Linked DNA regions of Oreochromis niloticus. The protein of the gene in region 1 interacts with the protein of each later gene in a biochemical or structural test. Links are inferred from orthologs where the notes say so. Each region holds a gene or a part of one and is shown on either strand. Other genes may lie near its edges.

What was found.
Region 2: the proteins of npr3 (region 1) and nppa form a complex in vitro, tested with the Homo sapiens proteins (4 studies listed by BioGRID, with this or other methods). The link is inferred for Oreochromis niloticus from reciprocal best matches to the Homo sapiens genes NPR3 and NPPA.

Annotation. Positions count from the first base shown.
Region 1 is NC_031977.2:304,939-308,694, forward strand, and holds the start of npr3 (atrial natriuretic peptide receptor 3), read right to left. Parts: upstream 2,160-3,756; 5' UTR 726-2,159; coding exon 65-725; intron 1-64. UniProt on the Homo sapiens protein: Receptor for the natriuretic peptide hormones, binding with similar affinities atrial natriuretic peptide NPPA/ANP, brain natriuretic peptide NPPB/BNP, and C-type natriuretic peptide NPPC/CNP.
Region 2 is NC_031984.2:35,514,616-35,518,371, reverse strand, and holds the start of nppa (natriuretic peptides A), read left to right. Parts: upstream 1-1,339; 5' UTR 1,340-1,436; coding exon 1,437-1,547; intron 1,548-3,703; coding exon 3,704-3,756.

The DNA.
Region 1 (3,756 bases):
ACTTATTTCAGACACCGTCTAATTAAGGGAGACGCTTTAAAGTGACTAAGGAAAGCTGCTTTACCTCCCATGTCATTGATGCTTCGCAGGAGCTCGTCCGTGTCCAGGGGTTTGTCTTCAGTTAACACATAGCTTTCGATGTTATAGTTACTCATCAGATGGTATACTCCTTCTAACGTGAAGTAACAGTTCCGCTGCTCCCGGTCGTCCTCGAAGACCAGCAGAGCGCTCTTCCAGGTGAAGTGTTCAAACATCGCCGTGAAAGTCTCTGCCATTTTCACGTAGGACGGGGCGATGCGAGTCAGGTGGGAGTATTCTTTGTTCTTGTTCGCGAAACCCGTGGCGAGGGCACCTGCCGAGATCACCGGGATGTTCCAGTGGGACGCCAGCCTTACCACTGCCGCAGCCTCGTACTCGCACACAGGACCCAGGATCAGGTCGGGCTTCTGTCCGCAAGACCTGTCCGCTAATGTGAAGAAAGCATCATAGAGGCAGTCGGAGTTTTCAAACTGGATGTTGAAGTTGAACCCAGAGTACTGACCCCCGTCCGCCTTCAGTCTCTTTTGTGCGTAATGGATCGCTGGTGCGACTCGTTCATATGAAAAAAGATAAGAATTATTTTGTGGCAAAAATACCAAAACATCTATGTCCTCGGTGATGGTGTTTGTCATAACTGGGCTCAGGGCTACCAAGAAATAGACACATAGTGTTCTCAAATGTGGCATGGTAGCACTTCCTCTTCAAGACAGACAGCAAAAGACTTTTAGAGAAATATTCTTCCAATGTTCCTTCCCTCAAGTTGGCTCTCGGCAGCGCACATAGAGCTGCAAACAGAAAGCCCTCTGTCGTTAGTAAATGCCTTAATAGTAAATAACTGTATTTGTCTTTGGGAGAAGCCAATCTGCCAGAATGGGTGTGTTTTATTCTGCATTTAGAGTCGCTTCCCAAGCTTCTGAACCTGTTCAAACTATTTTCTCAACAGTTGATCGTGCCAGGCTCGGAAATTCTTCCAGCTCAGTCAACAGCCATCATACACGCTGGCTCCGGCCTGGAGTTTAGAAGCATCTTTTCAGGATTATTCATGCGTCATCGGAGCGCTGCCCACCTCCTTCTTAAAGCTACACCGCTCCCGAGCGCACAATGAGCCACTTCAACGTAGCACGACTTAATGCGCTCCAGTTAATGCAGATGACGGCTCTTTATTTCTTGTTGATCAAGCTCTAACCATCTGTAACACAGCTATAGATCATTTATTTAGACAGGGTCAAACTGCAGGTGTGCATGGACTCTGCAGTAACCAAGATTTCTGTACAGACATTTTCAGCATTAGTAGCAAATAAGTCGAAAGACTGGTGGAAAAATGTGACCAAAAATTAAAATTTTGATGTTGATGGTATACAAACGATTTAAATGAAGCCCTAAGTTCTTTATTTTTTAAATGTTGGCAGTGAACTGGCAAAGAAATCATTTTAAGCTCAGCAGTGCATGCTTACACTGCTGACAAGCCTCTTGCAAAAACACTGTACACCATAAACAACAGTATAAACGACAAATTACAAGTCATGTCCGTGAGAAACAGGAAGAAACCCAGCAAAGATCTGACACAGGACCTGAGAGATGCATCTGACCCTCCAGTGGATCCATCTAATGTCACTGAGGCATCATCAGAAATGCTCCCAGTGAAAGCGTTGTTGTCAAGAAGCCATTCTTAAGGAAACAGGGAGGAAAGGCTGAGGTTTGCCAAATTACTCCAGAACAAGAAAAAACAAGAAAAGGACAAACATAAAGCAGAGATGTGTTTCTGTCAGAGGGGTTAATGTGTGGAATAGTTATGACAGTGATTTAAAAAAGGTGTACTTCATTTTCCTTGTTTAAAAACATGTTTAAAACTAGAGTTTCAAGAATGAAATGAGCAATAATAATAATACTGAAACTCTTGGTTGTTTTGCTTTGATTATTGTTATGAAATTTAATTTAATGTATTTACTTATCTAAGGTGGAAGGTTTTATGTTTTGTTTTTTGTTTGTTTGTTTTGCTCTTTTGCTTCAAGCCCTGTGTACACGAGCTGCACACTAAATGATCTTTTGTTTAAAGGCTTGGCGTAATACGCATGTGATTAGCTTTGTCTCATGCTTTCTTGCTTTGTGGTAGATCTTAATTCTGTATTCATTGAGATATTTGAATGCTAATCAAATAAAAATAAATGTTAAAAAATCACTGGAAGGCCGTATGGAGTGGAGAATCCAGATTAGCCTTTTTGGATCCAAATCGCCATCAGTATGTTCAGAGGAGCTCAGGATGGAGGTACCACAAGTGAGGGTCTACAGCACAGGTGTCGAATTCCAGGCCTCAAGGGCCAGTGTCCTGCAGGTTTTAGATGTATCCTTGATCCAACACAGCTGATTTAAATGGCTAAATGACCTCCTAAACATGTCTTGATGTTCTGCAGAGGCCTGGTAATAAACTAATAATTTGATTCAGGTGTGTTGGCCCAGGGTGAGATCTAAAACCTGCAGGACACCGGCCCTTGAGGCCTGGAGTTCGACACCCCTGGTCTACAGCATGGGTCCCCAATCCCAGTCCACGAGGGCCGGTGTCCCTGCAGGTTCTAGATGTGTCCTTGATCCAACACAGCTGATTTAAATGGATAAATGACCTCCTCAGCATGTCTTGAAGTTCTCCAGAGGCCTGGTAATGAACTAATCATGTGATTCAGGTGTGTTGACCCAGGGTGAGATCTAAAACCTGCAGGGACACCGGCCCTCGCGGACTGGGATTGGGGACCCCCTGGTCTACAGTCATCTTTGGAAAACAGTGGAGGCTCGGTCGTGGTTTGGGGCTGTGTTTCAAAGTCTCTGATTGGACAATGATCCCAAAGATGCTACCAATGCAGTAACTGCATACCAAGATAGAAAACACACAACACAACATTATCAGTAACAGACTGGCCTCCCCGGAGTCCAGATCTCAAAATCATTGAATAGGTGTGGGATCATCTTGATAGAAAAGCTTTGAACGTCCTTCAAGAAGCCTCGAAAACTATTCCTGAAGACTGCTTGGAGGAATTAAAAGAAAGCTGCCAGACAGATATCAGTCTGTGTTGAAGAATAACCGCAGCCGTGGTGAAGCCGTATGAAACAGATAAATTGTAAATAAAACAGTAGACAGATAGAACAAGTGTGTGCACAGTGATGGAGTTCACGGCCTGTACTAAGAACACAAACAGCAGAGAGATCCAAACGAACAGAGTGAGCGACTCCTGTGAATGAATAAACAAAGCAAACAAAAAAGCTTCAGCTCATAACCTCTGCACTTATCATGGCTCATTAACATGTGTCACTAATGACCCTCCTACTGACGCTGTCTAAAGACACCTTTTGTTTGCTGGCATTCAGACTGCAGTCTGCTGACGTTAGTGCTGATGTTTTCCACAGATTTTGTAACATTTAAAATCATTACATGGAAAATGATGTGGAAAGCATTTTACAGAATGTAAAGAATAATTCTGCACATCTTTATTTATTGTACAAATTACACCAATTAGACCACTGCCTAGAGAAATTATGAAATTATGGTCATTAGGCTCAGCTCAGCGCACATGTAATCTCATCTTTTACGTCTGGATTCATGTTTATTTTTGAGAAGGAAGTCTGAGCAGACATCCTGCTGAACCTGTAGGCTCAGCTGTGCCTCTGCTCTTTTTGTTGTTGATCATTTCTGACATCAGAATTATACAGATGCAGTACTGAGTGCAT
Region 2 (3,756 bases), on another chromosome or scaffold:
CCAAATATGTCACATTCCCCATGATCACCCAGCTCTAGCTCTGAAAGCCATCATAGGTACTACAAGGTCCTCTGGGAGCTTGATCAGCTATGGAGGATTGTCCCATGCCAAGAGTGTAAAGAAAAAGCACAAGCAGATAAAAAAAAGTTTTTGTATGTTTTAAACATGAGGTCTGTGTGTGACAATGGTATTAGTCTTCTCAGCAAAATGAAATGAATGATTCTCTAAGTATTATTTATTTATTTCAGTTGTGTTTAGTTTTGAGTAGCTTTGTGATTTTTTAAAATTGTTTTTTAATTGTCTCCAAAAGGGAAATTAAAATGACTCCTTAGAATTCAAATGTGCAGGATTATTAGGAGTCTGTGTGAAGCACATCCCTTATTACATGTGCCATTCATGTGCCTTATGAATGAGGGAACAAGACAAAGCTCCACCCATGACATGCAATCTCTTATCATAGTGCATTAAAGTCTGCACTTCCAAAATGTGCGATTGCAAAGACGAGGAGACCCTACAAACTAATAAAGACCTCAGGCTCTGGTTTGTCTGAATAATACTGTGGAGTTACAGTATAAAATGAGAACATGGTGTTTGTGTAACTCTTAACTGTGAAACACATTGAATAAACATTAAAACCCAAATATTTACTTTGTTAATATTTCTTTAAATATGTGAAAATTGTTATTTATAAAATACGTATGTATTATAATTGATTCTTGAAATTTGAGTCTATGTAATTCTTGTCTACTTTCTATTAAAGGTCACCCATTATTGAAACATATTTACAGTATACGCTTCTTCTTTTCTATAATACTCCCAGTTCATGTCTTTATCTACTGCACCTACAAGTTTAGATTATAGGCTGTATTATTCCTGCCTTACAAACTCATGACAGGAAGAAAATGCCTTCAGTTATGGTAATAAATCATATTCACAATCCTGTTTATATTCCTTTGACTATAACATTGTTTCCTTCCTGTCCTAATCTAAACCATGCAACCACAAGCAGCAGTTTTAACCTACTATGGTACGTTTCATTCTTGGGAGTGTAGACAGTGTTAAGTATATGCATAGTGAAACGACATTCTTCCCAATACACAGCTCGGAGATCCAGGATGGCTCCTTAGGTCATGCCACTGCTGGCTGGTAAGCATGATGATACACAGACACATATACTGTATACATAGACACATGCACAAACACACACACACACGCACACACACGTCACTTACCACCAAGCGCCACTTAAAGAGACATCTGACCAGTGGCCTTATCATTTAGAGGTGTCAGAATGCACTTGAGGCCGTCTACAAAATGATGGCACTGCCTGTCTGGTGCATGGTAAGTGTATGTAGATGGTTGTGTATGTGAGGCTGTCTGTATATAAAAGCTTGCAGTGCACGCTATAGTATCAGTATTAGCAGAAGAAACATAACATGAGAACTGAGGTTCTGTGGGGCGTATTGGCCCTGCTGTGTCAGCAAACACTGGTTAGCGGCCACATACTGGGGAGGCCCTCATCTGCTAATGACCTGGCTCAGCTCAAGGTAAGAAACCATGTCATACCTGTAATCAACACACCATTTGTGGAAACATTACACTGTGAAGGACCAGATACTTTGACATTCAAACAGAGAGAGGATCAAAGACAAGAAAGTAGCTGCATGAATAACATATTTCCTGTTATTAAAAATCATTCAAAGGCAGTTACACTGGTATCAGTGTCTTCTCAAATGCAGTTAGTGTACGAATACTACAAGCATTTCATAATTGCACTAATGCATCCACCCCAGTATAACTGATTTATGTTCTACTTGACAAAGTGAAGAGTTTTTTCAAATATAGTTTAAATCAGAGCACATGTTGACATGCTTTTCTATGGATTTGTGAATATTGAGAGGGAATAACAGGATGAAATGTTGACTGTTGTGATGACAACAAGAGGACACAACAACAGATCAGGCGATTACAAACAAAGCAACACAATGTGGAAAAGTAATTATCATTAGAGTGTGACCTCACATTGATCTGATCTCAAAGATATACCTGCTTTACTTTGTTCTCCTTATTTTCACTTGTAATTTTAACTTCATCACAACCTTCATCGTCATTCTTCCTTCATCTTATAATTAGCCAAGGTGAACTAGAAATTAGAGCGCTCTGCTTCCAGAATTACAAGCTGTGGTTCAGCTGTGGCTGAAGTAGACAGTTATTAAGGAGATTGCTGTGACTCTGACACAACACTGACATGACATGAACAAAACATTCACCTTTATTCCTGATATGCTGTTAATATTTGCATACCTATTAAATTAGGCAATAAAAACACCCACCATGGTTTTGAAAGTATGCAGCCTTTGGTTCATTGTGTGAACGTCACAATATCTGTGCACTGATGATAACTGTGGTATTTAAAAATTAAACATCGTGAATGATGGGTCCCTCTTGTTTGTTGTTGGCTGAGTGTTATGACTCTGTATCCAGATGGACTCTCAGACTTGGGACCCATCTGCTGACTCTGGCTACCTTGGTGGCCCCACACAACTCGTCACTGCTGTGTGTTTTTCAATTTGATTGGCACCTGAGGCATTGAGTGTGAGCATTGTTGACCAGCTGTCAGGTGTTCATGCCACAACTGTAAATTTTAAAAGCACTCTAGTGTTCATACAGTCATACTCATCCTTTACACCTCAAACTCTCACTTGCACCAACACATGCATAGGGTCTTGCAGTGCACACTATAGTATCAGTATTAGCAGAAGAAACAAAACATGAGAACTGAGATTCATTTCCTGTTCTTCTGATCTCCAGCCGCCCCCTTCTGCTCTTCAGCCACCCCCTATTTGTGTGTGTGTATATTATGGCTGGGTCTGAGTCTTTCTGAGTCTTGGCCACTGTGGGACATAGTGGTGGAGGGTGTGAGGTTGCCCTGCCCTGTCAGGTGCCAGGCAGTTCTCATCACCTGGGACCTTTCTTTTGGCTCATGCTGGGACAGCCAACCTCTTATGGGGTTGGTTACCCATTGTCTTTGGTTCTCTGGGGCCCTTGTCCTTTGGCTTTGGGGGCTCCATGTGGGGCCTCCCTCTTCCTTCACGCGGTTGTCATCGAGATGTGTGGCCTCAGGTCATCACTATTCTTGGGCGTCCGTGGACAGCCCGGGTCTCATGGTCTAATGGACCTGACTCTGGCTCCCCTGACTCTGGCTCCCAGGGGGGCGTTGTTGCAGCTTGTCACCCTCATTATCAAGTGTATTTTATGATAAACACACACACGCACTTGCACGTCCCACCTGTGATTGTGATTGTGCTCCATAAATCTGCTGGACAGGACGGGTTTATTAGGCAATAATCATGTCAAAATTGCTCATGTGATACTGATATGATATTGGTATAATTTTGAATACTTATGGTTACACTTGTATAAGCGTTAGGATTTAGTAATAGGTGAATTTGAGTTGTTACAGCTATTGTGATGCAAACTTTCCAATAAGGTATTTGAACAGACAAAAGAGGGAGGCTGTTCTCAAAAGTGTAGAAATAAATATGCAGCATAAACAGGTCTGTATTTTATATTTTTACATGATAACATCATGTTTTCAGATCATGCATGGCTGTGTGTAAACAGGAATATTTCTGGAACATCACCAGTGTCCAGGCTGCCTCTACATCCTGATTTATTAGATGCTTTATGATTTCTACAACAGTCTTTGCTGGAACGCTTTGAGGAGACATTGGATGAAGTGGTCCAGAAAGAAGA